Linked DNA regions of Pelodiscus sinensis. The protein of the gene in region 1 binds, or shares a complex with, the protein of each later gene. Links are inferred from orthologs where the notes say so. Each region holds a gene or a part of one and is shown on either strand. Other genes may lie near its edges.

The links.
Region 2: the proteins of RAB7A (region 1) and RILP are in contact, whole or in part, in a crystal structure (PDB 1YHN), measured with the Homo sapiens proteins. The link is inferred for Pelodiscus sinensis from reciprocal best matches to the Homo sapiens genes RAB7A and RILP. Residues at the interface, in NP_004628.4 of Homo sapiens: Ser3, Lys6, Leu8, Ile41, Gly42, Ala43, Asp44, Phe45, Leu46, Thr47, Thr58, Trp62, Ser72, Leu73, Val75, Leu182, Tyr183, Asn184, Glu185; in NP_113618.2 of Homo sapiens: Phe248, Glu249, Leu252, Gln253, Arg255, Asn256, Lys259, Ala260, Phe263, Leu264, Glu267, Glu268, Tyr271, Arg274, Glu275.

What each region holds. Positions count from the first base shown.
Region 1 is NC_134721.1:25,507,427-25,516,999, reverse strand, and holds the start of RAB7A (ras-related protein Rab-7a), read right to left. Parts: upstream 3,602-9,573; 5' UTR 3,456-3,601; intron 1-3,455.
Region 2 is NC_134731.1:1,043,775-1,052,380, forward strand, and holds the start of RILP (rab-interacting lysosomal protein), read left to right. Parts: upstream 1-4,998; 5' UTR 4,999-5,102; coding exon 5,103-5,390; intron 5,391-5,741; coding exon 5,742-5,865; intron 5,866-8,606. UniProt on the Homo sapiens protein: Rab effector playing a role in late endocytic transport to degradative compartments. Involved in the regulation of lysosomal morphology and distribution.

The DNA.
Region 1 (9,573 bases):
TAGTTTGGAAAAACCCCTTCAGTTTACCCTATCATTGAAAAAAAATGACAGTCTCCCCCCAACAGAAGCAGTTAGCTAAAATGTCTCCACTGACCTATGGCTACTCTGTATGTAACGTCAGCATATTCTCCACCTCCTACCCAGCTATGTTGGCCACGGCTATGCTGGACTTTTAAGATCTTGACCAGGCCTGTTTTCTTAAGGTATGTTTGTTAAAGATGTGCAGTTTAACAAAGTGGATTCCAGAACAGCCTTCTTAAAATAGTGTATATTTTACAGAGATTGGGCTTTTGACTACAGGCTGAAGTTTGACATCCTGCTACACAGCAATCCACTACCATTCTGGAGGATCAGTAATTCTCTCATGTAGTATGGTGGCATCCTTTGCCATGTTCCTTAATCTTTTGTTTTAGATCAGGCTCTGTAGGCCACCTACTTTGAAATGATTTGGGATTGTCAAATCAACTGCCTTAACAGTAGTGAAGTGGGCAATCTTATATGCTCCCTATATAATGGGATTTTTATACCACTCCAGGGGTAATATGTTTAATGCCATGCAGTGAAACTATCTACAAATATTCTGCAGTCACTGTTCAGCTCTCCCTAGAAAACTCCCCTCTTCCCCAAAACAGAGGCACAGTCTTATAGTTTCGAATAAGAAAGGACTTCCCCAAAGTCATGTTTTGCCCATAAATTTATTCTGCTGACAGGTAAATCTCAAACAGCATGAAACTCTTATAAGTTCTGCTACTGAAGTTCAGAGTCCAAAACCACTCTTCTCCTTGGACATTTGAGTGCAGTCCAAAAGCAAATAGGCTTAAGCAACAGAAGCCACTTTGACTTACCAAAAAAGAAAGCTATGGAGAAGCTAGTTAGAATTGTATTTCAGAGCAGTCTCAATGTGCCCAATTATATTAGAGTTCAAGTGTTTTAAGCCATGCTTTACAATATCTATTGTCCCGCCTTAAGCATCTTTGTAGATTAGTTCTCTAGAAACAAAAACAGTTATATTGAGTCTGAGAAGCATTTCCTGACCTAGCTGATAATTTAGGAAGGTTTTTAGATACTAGATTCTGCAGCAGATTAGTGGAGAAAACTGTACTGCTGTAGGGCTTCTTGAAAGCAGTTCTGCTTATTTTGGTAATTACAGTTTAACCCAATCTTGTACTTTCTGTACTAGAATATAACAGCACATGTAGAAGAGAAGTTTGAGATTACACTTTGAATGCCTAAGAATTTATTACATTAGGAAATAAGTCATAATGAAGACCCTTTGAATTCTGAACTTGATCCACCAAATCTAGACAAAGTATTATTAGTTTGTGGATAGCAAGTCATGTGTTTAGTCAGCTGCTGAAGTCACAAGGGAAAGACAGAATGAGAGTTTTTCCTGACTGAGGGCATGGCATAGAACCACAGATTTAAAAAACAGTGAACACAGTAGTCTACCTACTTTAAACAAACTTCATTCCAGATTATAAAAGAGTTGCACTTCAATATGGCTGCCTGGAGAATATTAGCCAAGAAACTGTTTTATCAAATACTTCAGTCTGTAACTGAAAGTTTAACAAAAAAGTAGGACTATTGGTTTTTTTTTTATTTATCTAAGGTGCTGCAGATGGTATGAGCTTTGGATATGCCCACAAAAGTGCATAATACCATCTGTTAGTCTCAGGTGCTGCAGGACTTTTTTTATTTTATTAAATGCTAGTGGTCTTAGTGGCAAACAGGCATTCCAAGTTAAAGCCATAACCAGACAAATGAAGTCAGCTAACTCTAGTAGAGCAAGCTGGGTCACGTACTTCATAATCCCCATCTATATTATCAGGTGTAAGATGTTGACTTGCAATTTGCATAGCACAGAAGAGTTGTGTAGTAGTGAGTGGTGTAGTAGTGGACTGCTACTATTTGTTACCCATGTTCCAAATTGTTAGCAACAAAACAGATCTTAGCATTGAACTTCCTGCTTGTCTGGGAGGAATTTGTAAAACCTTGTGTTTATTTACATGTTTGCCCATGCAGTCCTTCATAGGTTTAGCAGCTCTGTTCCACCAGGACAAGTTTTTGAAGAATCATGAAAGACAAAATTAAACTTGGCCTATGACTCAAGTTTATGTCTTACCTCAAGGTTGTAAGAAGTCAGTATAATCAGAACTATTTTAAAATACAGCTAAACCAATACATCACCTCTGCTAGCAGTTAGAAAAATATTGAAATCCCTCCTTAACTTAGCTTTTTAATTAATCAGGATAGCAATGGTTAGCCTTTTTAAAGGCATAAGAGCTGATTACAGCCTACAGCATCTTAGCATCAAATTTAATTCTTCCCACTGACTCAGTCCTTATGCATGCAAAGAAGTTACTTGCGCAATAACTGCCAGTCTTTTCAGTTGCCTATGTTATCCTGTTATTAACTGGACTAAGTGCAGTCTGCTAGTAAGTTAATTATATCCACTGATTACACTGAATAATATTTCAAATTATAGTAGTTTTTTCTGAAAAAAAAAAAAACTTAGGGATATTCCTAGCCTCTAGCTGTTCTCCCCCCCCCCCCCACCCACCCCCATTCTTCAGAGTTTGCATAAACCCAAGCACAAAAGGTGGGTGACAAATCTCCATCAGAAACTTTATCATTTCTACTTGAGCTCTTACTGATTTTCATATCAGGTCAATGCACCTGACTACAGGCAACTAGAGAGGCTGAAGGAATGGCCTCTTCCTTAGAAGAAAACATCCACATCGACCAGGAAAGCTTTATATTCAAAACATCAGCTTTTACTAGCTACTCTGAAGCATTATGAAAGCATCATTGTTACATATAGATGAGGGCAGGAGGAAAGAAAAATCTTAAACCCATCCCAATCCTTACACACAATGCCTCCCTAACTCAGTGAGCTCTCGATGCAAATCCCACTAACAAGGAAGAGCCCCATTCTCTGGCACAGGATAAGACACAAAGGAACAATTTTCCGGGTCCATCAACGCCTCCTCCCCACCCCATTTAGTCCCCGCAACTGGAAAGAAAAGGCCCCTCCTCACAGAGCCGCTCCCCCTCCTACTCCAACAAGGGAGGAGCCCCGCTGCCACCTCCTCCTAGAGCCCCTCCTCTCGCTTTAGTCCCAGACACCGGGATCTACTACCTCCCCCTCCTCAGGGGGACTAGGGTGGAGCCGGCTGCCTTTTCCTCCCTCCCCCAGCCTCAGGGCACTTGCGAGAGCAGCTGCCGCCCGCCGGCCCCGGCGAGCAGCCTCCTTCGCAGCGCCGGGCCTACGTTCTCCGCCCCCACCAAGCAGCTGCCCACCACGCAGACCCCGCCAAGCGCCCGCTACCTCCGCCAAGCCACAGACCCTTCCCCCCCTTTCGCCCCCGCCCAAGTCCCGAGCCGCCAGGGGAGCAGCAGGCCACAACCCAGCCCAGGGAAGGAGAGAGCCCCACATCGCCAAGCCGGCCACTCACCACGCTCAGCAGCCCCGCGACACGAGCTCCAAGCCTCGCTACCTCCACTGCTGCCTTCGACTCCGCTTTAATGGGGCCAAACAGCCTCCCTGCTTTCACTTCCGCCTATCCCGCGCCAGCTTCCGGTCACGGGACCATTCGGTGCTGTAACGTCAGCACGCACAGGGTAGGCGGGGGGGAGTGCAGTTGCCGCGTCACACGTCCAAGCACGCCCGCCTTGGCGTCATCTAGGTGGCCATCTTGGATGCCAGGCTGCGTGCTGTGGCGCCTCCGAGCATTCTGAGAAAGATTCTACCGGGCCACTCTGGTTTGTTTACTTTGCAGCCACAGAGCCTCATGGCTCCCACTGGCTGCGGTTCGCCGTCTGCAGCCCAGGGTAGCCACGGGACACAGTGTGACCTGTGCCTATGTATTAATGAAGTTCTTTACAAACATATTAAAAAAGTAAAATCCTATCGAGCAATGTTAACAGAAATTGAATTTTCAGATCAGGAAAAGAAGGGGAATGGTTTATGATTAGGACTAGAAGTAAACAAACCTGGATTCTTTCCCCATCTCTGATACAGATTTTCTGTGGACTTTGGGCAAGGTACTTGCCTGCTCAGTACCGTAACTCATTTTCTCTGTATGTCACTTGGGGATAATGCCAGTTTCAGTGTGGTTTCATAACGTTTAATTCCTTAAGGTCTGTAAAGGATTTGGAGAGTTATAGATAGAAGTTACTATTAAAAGTGCTATAATCTATTAGAATCTGATATATATATATATTATATTCCTATCTGGAATATTCTTCATTGCAGATAATATATTACACAATATTAAAGTTATACTACATTAGAGAGAACCAAACAACAAAGGTGTATGTGAGAATGGGATGTCGCAGGCTGATCTAGCTCACTGCAGGTAATACAAATCTTAATGTTGATTGCAACAGGAGCTGGATCAGCTTTTTAGAGCAGAGGATAGGGAATCCTCTTGAGATTGGGCAAATCTTTACTTTCTCTGTGCCTCCATTTCCCCATCTGTTGGATGGTGTTAATTATACTGATCAATCTCACAGGGGTTGTGTTGTTTATTAATGGCTATAAAGTACTTTGAGATTATGAGATGGAAATTTCTACATAAGGTGTTGATTATGATGCTTCATTGAACAAAAGAAGAAAGACATAAGAAAAACCTCAAAGACAGAACTCATGAAAGTGCATCACTGCTTTGACTGTGATGCTCATGCCATCCTCACTGTGCAGCCTAATTACCAGAAGTGTATTGGCTACAGCATCAAACTGGGGCACAACATTCAACTTCTCCACCTGTGTGTTTCCTGGAAAAAAGACCATAAAATGCTAGGTGGACAAAGAACAGACACTACCAACAGCCATAAAGTGCTGCTCTGTCCACTCCTAAATGTTCCTTTTTTTCCTGTACAATATTCAAAGGAGGCAGTTTCTGTGTTTGAAAATTCTGCCTTCTTCTGATCACAGAGATTCTGGCAAAAGTGCAACACATTTATTTTAAATGGGATCTTTTTCTTATGCATCACATTAGTGAAAACCTAACACAAGCCTGGGATTTCTTCCTTTGCACAACCAGCATCTGTGCCATGCAATTCTTTTTTATTGTGACTTGCTAATTCCTGCAGGCAACGCTTTCTGTTATCAGACTAATACGGACCGATCATGGTCCTATTGAAGTGAATGAGAATTTTGTCATTGAGCAGGATATACAGCTTATATGTAAGGGCCACAGCTTGTTGAAAATACCATTGTTAAACCCTAAGACAGAAAAATAAAAAATATGTAACTATCATGTCAGATGCAGATATGGACTGAAGCCTCATGATTCTTCTATCTGCATCATAGTGACATACCTGTCAACAAAAATGAAAACAAGGATAGGCTAAAAGAAAAAAATGTAATGCAGTGAAAATCCTGATAAGATGTGAGGCCAGCAAAATAGTTTTCATAACCTGTTAAGAAGTCAGTGTTTCCTGACAGACGAGTCTGGTTAAGAATACACAAAATCTAATCTGAACAACTGGATCATTATGAAACCAAATATCAGTTATTTACAGGGAAATATATTACTGTGGAAATCAATGGTCTCGTATGTGTCAGTGGATTTGTGACCCTTTTCACAATTTACTGACTTCTGGCTGTCAGTTTCACCAAGTTAATATACATCAACACACTTCATGCGTTCATCCCTTCACAATTAGAAAAAATAATTTCCCTCACATTTGTCTTTTTTTCCTCGTGTGACAAACAATCAAACCTGCTTACTCCAACTAAATACAATGGTATGTGAGTCCCCTTATATTGTTCCTTCTCTGACTTGTTTCAACATGGCCCTGCTTTTTTCCTGCTACAGGTTGAACTGCTCTAGTTTGGTATTCCCAGTCCAGCAACATCTGAGGTCCGTCATTATTTTAGTTAGCTGGATGTCCACCTATGGGTGTGGCCAAGTTTCCCATGGTCCCATAAAGTTTGTTTATAGCCACCAGTCCTGGCTCTCAGTGTTCTGTGCTGTTATTTACCTCTAATTTACCCTTAAATGTCTTCCAAGTGCTCGGTAAGCAGTGGAAGTGTTGGTAATGCTGTTAGACAATATTGACCTCCCATTGTCTGGCAAATTCTCTGGATCGGCACCGAACAGGTCCCAAGCGTGCCGGACTAGACAGTTCATTCCCTCAATTGTATCAATGCAAATAAGAGTAAATGTATCAATACAATTTTTGTAAACCAGAAAGTGTAGACAATGTGTTGTTTCTTGGATGAATGCATGTGACGGAATGCACCCTGGTATTTACACCCTGCACACTAATCTTTGTACAAAATATGCCTTGAAGGTATCATTTGAAAAGTGATAATTTGCTGGTTAGTAGCATCATGGCAAAATGTATGTAACAGTAATATATGTAAAGTTATGAGCATAAGATGAAATCACAATTGAAGTTATTTATCATACAAGTCTGTGAAGTAAATAAACCTATTTCTCAAAGATGAATGACAAGTTGATGCCTCTAGCCTGGTGTCATCAAAAGTTTATTGGCTGTTACCTATTCAGTGGCCATTCTTTGGCATGGAAAGGTGGGTAAGGCAATAGATAAACAAATCTGAAGCTTAGCAAACAGAGGTGAACAACAACAGCATAACATCTCTTTCCCCACCAGCCTCTATACCGCCTTACTCTCAGCTGAAAATAACTTTATCTAGAGGTCATTCTCAGGAAAATGCATTTCAAGAAGTGACAGAACTATAAAAGTGATGGGCAAATCAACCTGTGTTCTCTCTTTTCAAATACTCAATTATTATTCTGTGATTAAATTGTCTATTAACGTTAAAACAGATCTCTAAGACATTCAGGCAGTGCTAGACAGCATGAAGCTACCGGTTAGAGGATTTCCACAGTCAAGATCTGGCCCTAAACAGGGCATGATGGTTAAGAGTCCAATTCTGGACTTAGTTCTATAACACAGTCTGAATGTCAAAGTTCAGAGGATTACAAAGATGCTGATCTACAGTTATCCCATGTCTGGACACATGCTACATAATGTATCAAATTGATTCTGACTAATTCTGATCATTTTCATTTTTTTCTCCAGAGTACAATAATCCACCCCCCATTGCTCCAGTACATCACCGAACAGCTCCTTGAGAACGTCCTTGGATGTTTGGCCTGACTACACAGAAGGAAGAGATAGACTTGTGGATTGTGAATATTGAAATATTAACCACTGGCTATATAAAATATTTAACATTTCTCAATGACACCTCACTTGCTTTCTTCAAATTCCTCCTTCAGGCTCACTTCTCTTGACAAGCTTCCCAAAGCTTATCTCAATTCCACCACCTCTACTCTTTGGACTGACTTCCTCAAACTAACATTATAACATTTTAACTTACTAAAACAAAAAAAGGAACCAAAAAGATGTGAACACAAGGTCTCTTACTGTTGCAGTTCTGGAGTAGTCTAGTTTTGTCCAGACACAGCCCTTTATTTGTCATCCTTTGATTCATTTTGGCTAATTGAGGCTGTGACCTCATGAGCACTCATCTTAAATATCTTCCATTGTTGCATTACCACTTTTGTAATACCATGGGTGGAAGTTCCTGTACACTGATCACCTGCATTGTCTAAGCCAGCTTGCAGTATGAATACTGAACTACTGGTCAGCACCAGTGTTCCCTGGAAGCTGCCTGCTTGCCTGGCCACTCAGGACAGATTGACACACAGCTGATTAGCAGAGCACCCACAACTGGGTTTTTTGTTTCTACTGGTGGTGCATATTCGTACATGCTTCAGTGCATAGCAAATATTTATTCTGCACATGGATATAAAAAAAATCCACACATGTATGGAAAAGATTGAGGAAACACTGGTCAGCATTAGTGCTTCCATGTGGCTACCATCAATGGATCCATACTGGTGCTACAACAACAGTGGTAGATTTAAGTGAGATGCCTGTGTACACAGGATTTAGGGTCTGGACAAGTGTGGTTTTGAGTACTTACTGCAAGGTGTCCAATGCCTTCAATTCCAACTGACTTCTGTATCAGTGAGAATTCTGAGTACTTTATAGGGGCTGCTTACAACCTGTACATGTCAGCATTTGTCTTCTCGATTTGTCTGTAAAAGTCAGGACCATCTATCCTGCTGTAGGGATACTAAGAATAACAGTATAACATCCTTTCTGAAACCTCAAGTACCAAGCATTCTGGTCTGATGCATGTTACATTTCTCATTGCAGTCTTTATTGCTTGTGTCATATGTTATGTTACACTTATCCTTTATTTATGGAAGGTCTCTGGACTTGTCCACAGGTAATCTGACCACTTGTCATAAGTATATACCATTCTTACAATTACTCACTTTTTTTAATACTAACCCTAAATGTTTCCCTACCAGAATGAATTACTGTCTGGGTGACAGTGACTCTGGATTGTATCTATTCCAAAGGATTAAAAAGCTGGTGCATCAGAAATTCTCAGTAAGGATGTTAAGAAGTGGGTAATTGGCTATTTGTGTAGGTAATTGGCTAATCGATGAGGGGAGGCGCTCTGTTGCGGCTTGCACCAGATCCAGGAGCTATCTCTACCGCATCTCTGCAATTTAAATGCAGTAGGAGCCAGGCACACAGGCAGCCTGGCTACATTTAAACTGCAGAGCCACAGCAGGGCTAGGACTTGGACCAGGCGCAAGCTGGGACCGGGACCACTGTGGCTCTGCATTTTAAATGTAGTAAGAGCTGTACATTTAAAATGCAGAGCCACAGTGGGGGTAGGTCCCAGATCCAGCACGAGCCAGGACTGAGCAGTCCCAGCTTGTGCCAGGTCCTGGACCACTGCGCCTCTGAATTTTAAATGTAGTAAGAGCTGCCTGGCTCTACTACATTCAAAATGCAGAGGTGCAGCAGTGGTAGGTCCCAGACCTGGTGTGAGTTGGGACTGAGCGGCTTTTAAGCCGGCTCCTTCCAACACAGGCTCCTGTCCCCGCCATCCTCCCTGCTTGCTGCATCTGATACAGAGGCAGTAAGGCGGGGGGGGGGGGGGGGGGGAACAAATATTTGACTCGACTACCTGATAAGCCTAGACTTATTGGGTAGTCGACTAATCAACTACTCACTTAGGGTACGTCTACACTGCACACTTATTTTGGAATAAGCTATTCCGGAAGAAATACTCCGAAATAGCTTATTTTGAAATAGCGCATCTACGCTACAGGAAAGCCTCAAAATTAGTCCAAGGCAGGCTCCCCTAATGTGGATGCACTACCTTGATTTAGTCCCAGGAAGCACTAGGGAGTGATTACACTGAATGGTCCTGGGGAGGAGCTATTTTGAAATGGCAGCAGTGGAGTGTCCTCACTACAGCTATTTTGAAATAATAATTTCGGAAGAGGTGTTATTCCTCATGGAATGAGGTTTACAGAAGTCAGAATAAGCCTCTGTTATTTCAAATTTATTTCAAAATAACGGAATTGTGTAAATGCTCGTATTGTTATTTCGGAATGACGCTGCTATATAGACACACCCTTATATCCCTTATTCCCAGATGGGAGGGGGAGTGCCCCCATCTGGTCCCTTTCACCTGCCTGGTGATTCTGTCTTTTTTCTGTATGG
Region 2 (8,606 bases), on another chromosome or scaffold:
TCCTTGGGAAGGTCTCCAGTCTGGGGGCTAGAGAGCCCTGAACTTGAGCAATTCGCCCTGAGCGGATGCCCTCAGCTGTGCCCAGACTTGGCCCAGTCCGTCCCACCCTGTTAGTCTTAGCTTTCACCACACCCTCTGGCAAGGAGTTCCTTATCTCATTACTAATCTTTAAACCAGGCATCCTCCTTTTTCCATTCTTCTGGTTTTATAGCTAATTATTTTCAGGCCCCCAACTAACAAAAAGAGGGCCATTTCTTTACAGTACATTCTCTTGACCAAATTTAAGATCACTGGTTCTTCAGTTTCACATGTATACTCAATCCTTAATGGGGGGCAGTGAGACAGAGCTGGAAGGGGCTTGTTTGAGCATGTACAGTGGTGAGACAAATACTGACAGTGCTGTAGTGTATGAAAAAGTGGGGTAGGGTTTTCTGTGAAGGGCCTTTGAAAGTGGATACAGTTTGTTGTGGCACCAGGGGAGAGTGGAAAGAGGTGGTTATGCAACTAGCCCTTTGTGGAGGAGAGTTCTGAGCCCTTTCCTGCCTAAGGACATGTCAAAAATCCGCAAAAACTAGTCCAGTAGCATCAAAGACTAGCACACTTATTTGGGCAAAAGGTTTCACGGGCTAAAGACCCGCTTCATCAGACGCACCAGACAAAGTGTGTGGGGGGGTGTCTTTGCCTATGAAAGCATAGGCCCAAATACACCAGTTAGTCTTTAAGATAAATGGTTAGTGGATAAATGGGAATAAATGGTCAGTGTTCAGAATGAAAAGAGATAACTAGTGGTGTCCAATCCTATTGAACACATTCATAAATGGCCTGGAGAAGGGGGCAAACGTGGCAAAATTTGCAAATGAAACAACCTACTCACGACAGTTGAGGCTGTGAAGAACTTCAAAAGGATCTCACTTATGACTAGGCAATAAAATGGCAGATTAATTTTACCTGTTATCACTCGAGAGAGATGTTAGACATTGTGGATAGTTTTGAGAATATCCATAGCACCTGTCAAAAACAAATCAAAAGGATAGAGAATCAGACAAATATCTTATTGCTTCTATATCAATTGATGGTATTCCCACATCTTGAATACTGTGTGCACTGTAGTAGTCACTCAGGATTTATTGGTGTGATGTCCTGACAGGTCTCCTGCTCCCTAGATGATAATCATTTGGCTGCATGTGTTGACTTGTGCAAGTAGTTAACACAGCTGACTCCAAGAGAGCCCCCAAAATCAGATGATTGAAGGTGCAGGGCCAGGTTTATTGTCAAAGTACAGTAATAGTTGGCAGTAGACTCTACCCAACCACAATACCTATATACTCCCCTGACAATGGACATGGCTCAGTGTCATGAGAATCTATCACTGCCCCTTAGGCCGGACAAAGACAGCCCTGCCAAGACACCACTTTATATATAAAAACAACAAATGGTCTGGTAGCACTTTATAGACTAACAAAACATGTAGATGGTATTATGAGCTTTCGTGGGCACAGCCCACTTCTTCGGATGACCGGAGTTATGAGTTTAGGATGTGTACACCCAAAATAAATAGGAGAGGGGAAGTGAAGGGGAGAGTGAAGAAAAAGGGAGGAGGGTGGGAGACAGAATCAGTAAGTATCTGAAGATTGGCTAGTTAAACTGAAGCAGATAAGAATCAAAGTCAATAGATAGACTCCCATGTCAGGAAGGATACTACACAGAGTTGTCTGCACCTTCAATGGCTGTTAAATTGGTAGTGTTCCAACCGACTTTCATCACAATTGAGTCCATTAGCATGTGAATTGCATTGTGGATGAATTGTAATTCCAATGTGCTACCACGTAGTCTATGAAGTGCTACCAGACCATTTGTTGTTTTTTCCTGTAACAGACTAACTTGGCTACCCCCTGAAGCTTCGGTTACAAACAAGTTACTCATCTCTCCCACCCTTTGAGGTTTCCACCATTTGATAGTACTTAGATACCACCCATCACCCTGCACCTTGTGGTTCAATTAGAACATCTCTATCCAACATGCTGTCATTTTCTGGACCTTTCCTGGACCTGGGGTTGGTATTTGTGGGGAGTGTAGAGACCAAGGTTATTTTTAATGAGCTGATGTTACCATCTTTTTGGAATATGCTTTCAGCTTATGACCAGTACCAATTGCTGTTATAGCCGGTACCTAGTACCAGTTACGATTCTACGTCTGTGCCTATTACCAATTAGTGTTTTACACACTCAGCCCTGTTCAGGCCAAGTTCTGTGAGCAAGGGCCTGCCTCTTGGTCACAGGTTAGCTTTGCTTTAACAATACTCAAGACTTTACTAATATAGGTAAGTCTCAGGCCTCAAATCAGACCTGTGCTACATGGGCTTTTGTTTGTCCTTTATCTTACTATCTCAAAAAAGATATCTCGGCATTAGAAAAAGTTCAGAAAGGGGCAAGATAAATGATTAGGAGTATCTCTTGCCATTTGAGAGGAAATTAATAAGATAGAAAGTCCCAATCTTGGAAAAGAGATGACCAAGGGGAGATACAACAAAGATGTATAAAATCATGACTAGTGTGAAGAAAGTAAATAAAAGTTATTTACTTGTTTTAAGAACTAGGGGTTACAAAATGAAATTAACAGGTAATAGGTTCAAAACAAAAGGAAGTATTTCCTCACACAGAAAAGTCAATCTGTGGCACTTCCTGCCAGAAGAAGGCCAAGACTGTAACGGTTCAAAGAACTAGATAATTTCATGGACGTTGGGCCCATCAATGGCTGTTAGCCAGGCTGGGCAGGGAGGGTGTCCCTGGTCTCTGTTTGTCAGGGGTAGGAATAGGCAACAGGAGGGATCCTGTGATGATTCCCTGTTCTGTTCACTCCCTCTGGGACACTGTGGGCAGGCAGGACACTGGACTTGATGGACCTTGGGCCTGGTTATTCTTATGTTGAGTGGCCTGAGGGCTACGATGACTCACTGGCTGCCCAGCTGAGATGTTAGTGTGAGGTGCTCAGCCCCACTGGGAACAGCCCTCCCCTTCGGCCTGGGGGTGAAGCTTGGGGCCTGCCTCCACCAGCCTCTGGGCTGGGTCTCTGCCCTTCCACTCTGTTGCCCCTTGTGAGCCCAGGGCCATTTAAAATAGCCCCTTAGCAAGGGAGCGGGGGACAGTCTCAGAGCACCCTGCCTCCCCCTTAGTGTTGCCTTAAAGAGCCCCACGCCCCCAGCCCTTAGCGCCGCCTCAGCGTGCCCTACCCCCCGGCCCTTAGCGCCACCTCAGAGTGTTCTGACCCCCGGCCCTTAGCGCCACCTCAGAGCGCCCTGCCCCCCAGCCCTTAGCGCTGCCCCCCAGCCCTTAGCGCCACCTCTGAGTGTTCTGACCCCCGGCCCATAGCGCCACCTCAGAGCGCCCCGCCCCCCAGCCCTTAGCGCCGCCTCAGAGCGCCCCGCCCCCCAGCCCTTAGCGCCACCTCAGAGTGTTCTGCCCCCCCCAGCCCTTAGCGCCACCTCAGAGCGCCCCGCCCCCCCCGGCCCTTAGCGCCACCTCAGAGCGCCCCGCCCCCTCAGCCCTTAGCGCCACCTCTGAGTGTTCTGACCCCCGGCCCTTAGCGCCACCTCAGAGCGCCCCGCCCCCCAGCCCTTAGCGCCACCTCTGAGTGTTCTGACCCCCAGCCCTTAGCGCCGCCTCAGAGCGCCCCGCCCCCCAGCCCTTAGCGCCACCTCAGCGTGCCGTGCCCCCCAGCCCTTAGCGCCACCTCTGAGTGTTCTGACCCCCAGCCCTTAGCGCCACCTCAGCGCGCCCTGCCCCCCCTGCCCTTAGCGCCACCTCAGAGCGTCCCACCCCCCCCCGCCCTTAGTGCCACCTCAGAGTGTCCCACCCCCCCCGCCCTTAGTGCCACCTCAGAGCGTCCCGCCCCCCAGCCCTTAGCGCCACCTCAGAGCGTCCCGCCCCCCCCGCCCTTAGCGCCACCTCAGAGCGTCCCGCCCCCCCCCGCCCTTAGTGCCACCTCAGAGCGTCCCACCCCCCCCCGCCCTTAGTGCCAGCTCAGAGCGTCCCGCCCCCCCTGCCCTTAGTGCCAGCTCAGAGCGTCCCGCCCCCCCTGCCCTTAGTGCCAGCTCAGAGCGTCCCGCCCCCCCTGCCCTTAGTGCCAGCTCAGAGCGTCCCGCCCCCCCAGCCCTTAGCGCCGCCTCAGAGCGTCCCGCCCCCCCGGCCCTTAGCGCCACCTCAGAGCGCCCCGCCCCCCCCGGCCCTTAGCGCCACCTCAGAGCGCCCCGCCCCCCCCCGGCCCTTAGCGCCACCTCAGAGCGTCCCGCCCCCCAGCCCTTAGCGCCGCCTCAGAGCGCCCCGCCCCCCAGCCCTTAGCGCCGCCTCAGAGCGCCCCGCCCCCCCGGCCCTTAGTGCCGCCTCAGAGCGCCCCGCCCCCCAGCCCTTAGCGCCGCCTCAGAGCGCCCCCCCCGCCCTTAGCGCCGCCTCAGAGCGTCCCGCCCCCCCCCGCCCTTAGCGCCGCCTCAGAGCGTCCCGCCCCCCCCCGCCCTTAGCGCCGCCTCAGAGCGTCCCGCCCCCCCGGCCCTTAGCGCCACCTCAGAGTGTTCTGACCCCCGGCCCTTAGCGCCGCCTCAGAGCGCCCCGCCCCCCCGGCCCTTAGCGCCGCCTCAGAGCGCCCCGCCCCCCGGCCCTTAGCGCTGCCTCAGAGCGTCCCGCCCCCCCGGCCCTTAGCGCCACCTCAGAGTGTTCTGACCCCCGGCCCTTAGCGCCGCCTCAGAGCGCCCCGCCCCCCCGGCCCTTAGCGCCGCCTCAGAGCGCCCCGCCCCCCGGCCCTTAGCGCTGCCTCAGAGCGCCCCGCCCCCCCGGCCCTTAGCGCCGCCTCAGAGCGCCCCGCCCCCCAGCCCTTAGCGCCGTCTCAGAGCGCCCCGCCCTCAGGCTGTGGGCCAATCACGCTGGGGGTGGGGGTGGGGTCTACGCGCGGTGCCCCGCCCCTGCGGCCAATGGGAGCTGCGGGCAGCAGCGCGCGGAGTCCCCGCCCCCCGCCGAGGAGCTGCCAGAGGCGCGTGCAGGAGCAGACCCGCCCACCCCGCGGCCGAGGGGGCCGGGCGCGTGCGCGGCGCTGGGCGGGAGGCGGCGCGCGCCATGGCGGAGCGGCTGCCGCGGCCCGGGCGCCTGGCCCCGGAGCGCGTGTACCGCCTGGCCGGGGCGCTGGGCGCCGAGCTGCAGCGGCTGTCGGGGCGCTTCGGGCCCGAGGCGGTGGCTGGGCTGGTGCCGCAGGTGGTGCGGCTGCTCGAGCTGCTGGAGGCGCTGGCGGGGCCGCCCGCGGCCGAGCCCGGCCCCGAGCCCGGCTGCCAAGACCCGGCCGAGGCGCTGCTGCGCACGGTGCAGAGCCTGAGGCGGCGCGAGGAGCCCGCGGCCCCCGCCGGGGAGGTGAGGGGGGTCTGGGGGGCGGGGCAGAGACGGGGGGGAAGGAGGGTGGGGGGGAGACTGGGGGGTCGGGACTGGGAGCTCAGGGGCGGGGTTGGGGTCTTTGGGGGCGGGGGGTAGGTTGGAGTCTTGGGGGAGGGGGCTGTGGGGGGAGGGGCGGGGGCTCTGGGGGCAGGGTTGGGGGCTCTGGGAGGTTGCCCTGGCAGCCAGTGCGCAGGCTAGGCAGTGTCATGCCATGGCTGCTCTCCGAGGAACTGAGTCCACCTGACCCCAAGCCCAAGAGGCTCTTGTGGGGTAAAGGGCAGAGCGTCTGGGGTGGGCAGGGCTCTGATCTCACTGGTGCCTTTTTTGCAGGCACTGCAGCAGAAGCTGGCGGAGGCCTGGAGGAAAGAACATGTTCTCCAACACCGGCTGGCCCAGCTAGAAGAGGAAAACCACAAGCTCCTGGCACAGCTGGCGGAGAGCCAGTCCCAGGAAGGTAGGTGTCCCTGGGGAAGCTGTTGCTGAATCCCTGCCAGCTTCTGAGTGCCGGGAAGTTCACTCAGTGAGGCTAGGCTGCAGTGTATCTGGCTTACAGCCCACTGTCATCCTTGGGATGCTCTGCTTATATCTGGAGGAATAAACCTTTATTCTGATATCTGAGCACGTGCACATTCTATGTAATACCACCACCCTGTCTCTGAGGCATCTCACTTGATGAGACTGGGGGACTGAGGCCCAGGGTAAGGCTGTATATACTAGGGACCTCAGTTCAGCTGCACAGGTGTAAGCACTGTAGAGCTCTGAACTAGGCAGTGTGTGGTAGCTTCTAGTACGTTTAATTAGAAGCTTTGTTTATATTGGGGCTCCCAGAGGTGCTAGTAGAGTGTGATGACTTCCCCCCCCCAGGGTGCCATCTGGTGCCCCACTTCCCCAGCCCAACAGCCTAGGTTCCCACACTCACTGTACTGCTGTGATAAGCTGCTGTGCCCTCCAGCCTGCACTTTTGCCAGCGTGCATACAGTAGAAGGACACCCAGCTGCAGTTACATGCAGGCTCTCTGAGCAGCCTCTGCATAGGAATGCTACAGCTAAGGCAACAGCCAGCTTTTCAGACACAAAGCCGCTCTGAAGTATGAACCCACAAGGACATTGGCTTGCTCTGCACAGGGCAAGCTCATAGAATTCCCTCCCTCCCTCAGGGCAGTGGCATCTGCAGCAGTCTTTTGCCCCCAAGTTATGATTCCCACACTCTGCTTTAGGTAAAGCAAAACCAAGTTTATTAACTGCAGAAGATCAAAGCAGATTACCTAGCAAATAAACCAAAAACACAAACTAAATTTAAAAATGTTTCCAGGCGTTGTCTTGTGTGGGGTGCAGAGAACAACCAGATGATGTCACTCCATATATGTTTTTGCATGTGGTGGCAACCCTTTGTTTTAAAGCTTGGTTCCCAGACCAGTCTGTGGAGAAACACTGATATCCCAAGGTGGAGTCAACAGACATGTGGTCACATCATATGTCTTTGTGGGGTCATAGCAGCCATTTATAGTTTCTGTTTTGGAATTTTACACTTATCCATACTAGTTTGTTTCAGTTGCATCTTTCAGTGTCAGTGGTTGATTGTATTTCCTTTGGTAAAGCACCTTTCATGTGATCAGGGAGTCTAGTAATTGAGTAAGACTCTAAACTAAGAATTTGAACTAACCAACTTCTAAAATTATAAGTTAAAAGAAGAAGTAGAGTAATAGTACAAGAGGAAGCAGCCACCTGTATGATCTAACAGAGGGCTTCCTTCTCTATTGCCACATGCTTGAAACTTAGAGTCCCGGGGATGGTGGTTTGACGGACCAGGCAGGTCTGGGCACAGCTGAGGGCGTCCGCTCAGGGCAAATTGCTCAAATTTGGGGCTCCTTACAGCCCCCAGAATGGAGACCTTCCCAAACAGGCCACAAACCAGTCCCACATAGCGCTTCAGCTGCCTGCCTGAAGCCTCATGAGCAAAACCCCTCTGAGACACCAGCAATATCTGTGTCCCAGATGGCCCTGAACCTCATACACAGGTGAGGGGGTCTTAGAACCCAATCTCACCTACCCCGAACAAGTTCTGTCTGGTTCCAAAAAACCAGCCACAGATCCCAGGTCAATTTACCCTCTGGACCTTACCCACAAGCCACGCTGAGCCAACCCTTTAGAATCTACCATCTAAAGAGTTTATTACTATGAGAACGAAAAGCACGAGAATGAGGTTGTTAAAGTATCATACGTTACATGCATCGAATCGCCCAGTTCTCGATGCAGGCTCTAGCAGAGATGTTATAGCTGCTGGATTAAAAGTCCTTGTTGCACATCCTAGGTCAGGATGGGTCCACAGGTCTTCCTGGCTCGTGATCCCCTGCAAGGCTGCATCTGGTGTCAGGAGCAGATCTAAGTCCAGCACGGAGTCGACCACATGGCCTGTTTATACCTCCTCCCTGATTTCTTCCAAGCTGGAGGGAGTCACATGGCCAGTGGCCAGGTGTGTCTTTGGCCTTCAGAGGCCCATTGTTCCCTGGAGCTTCGCTCATTAGCATGTCCATAGGCAATAATTCCTAGCCCATTATTCAAGCACATTCAGAGAGATTCCAGTCTCCATACAGAGTACAGACCCCTAACTCCACACACAGACATTATACAGATCTATGAAGAGCAGATACAGAATCAGAAGAAAGTAGCTTTTGTTTGACCCCTCACATGGCCCCTTTGTACCACTTTTGGGGCAAACACCCCCCATGGATGCAGCAGTGACCCGGCTGCTCCCCTCACAATCCCATAACGTGACAGGTGGTTGTTACTACCAAATTGGAACTTGTGAAAGCTAATTGGATTAGTATCCCACTATGCCTGAATGCACAGTAAGAGATGGTTCCTGCTCCAAAGAGTTTACATCTTACAGAAGTAATAAATGTGTTTAAAGAAAGAGAGGACAAGGGTTACTAAGAGGGAGAAGTTGTGTGGGCTGGCTGCATACATAGCTGTCAAGCTTAACAGAAGTAAGCAAGAGGCCTTAGTGATGTCATCCCTGATGTTCACTACTTGGTTAGGATGAGGAGGAGTTGGCAATGTGACATGGCAGAAGAACAGTGAGTGTTGTGTGAGGAGGAGGGGATGGTCCTGCTCTGCACCGCCAGGTAGTGAGTAGAAGGGCATGGGCTCGTGTCAGAAAAAGATGGAGGTTGAGAGAGAATAGGCTAGGAGAGAA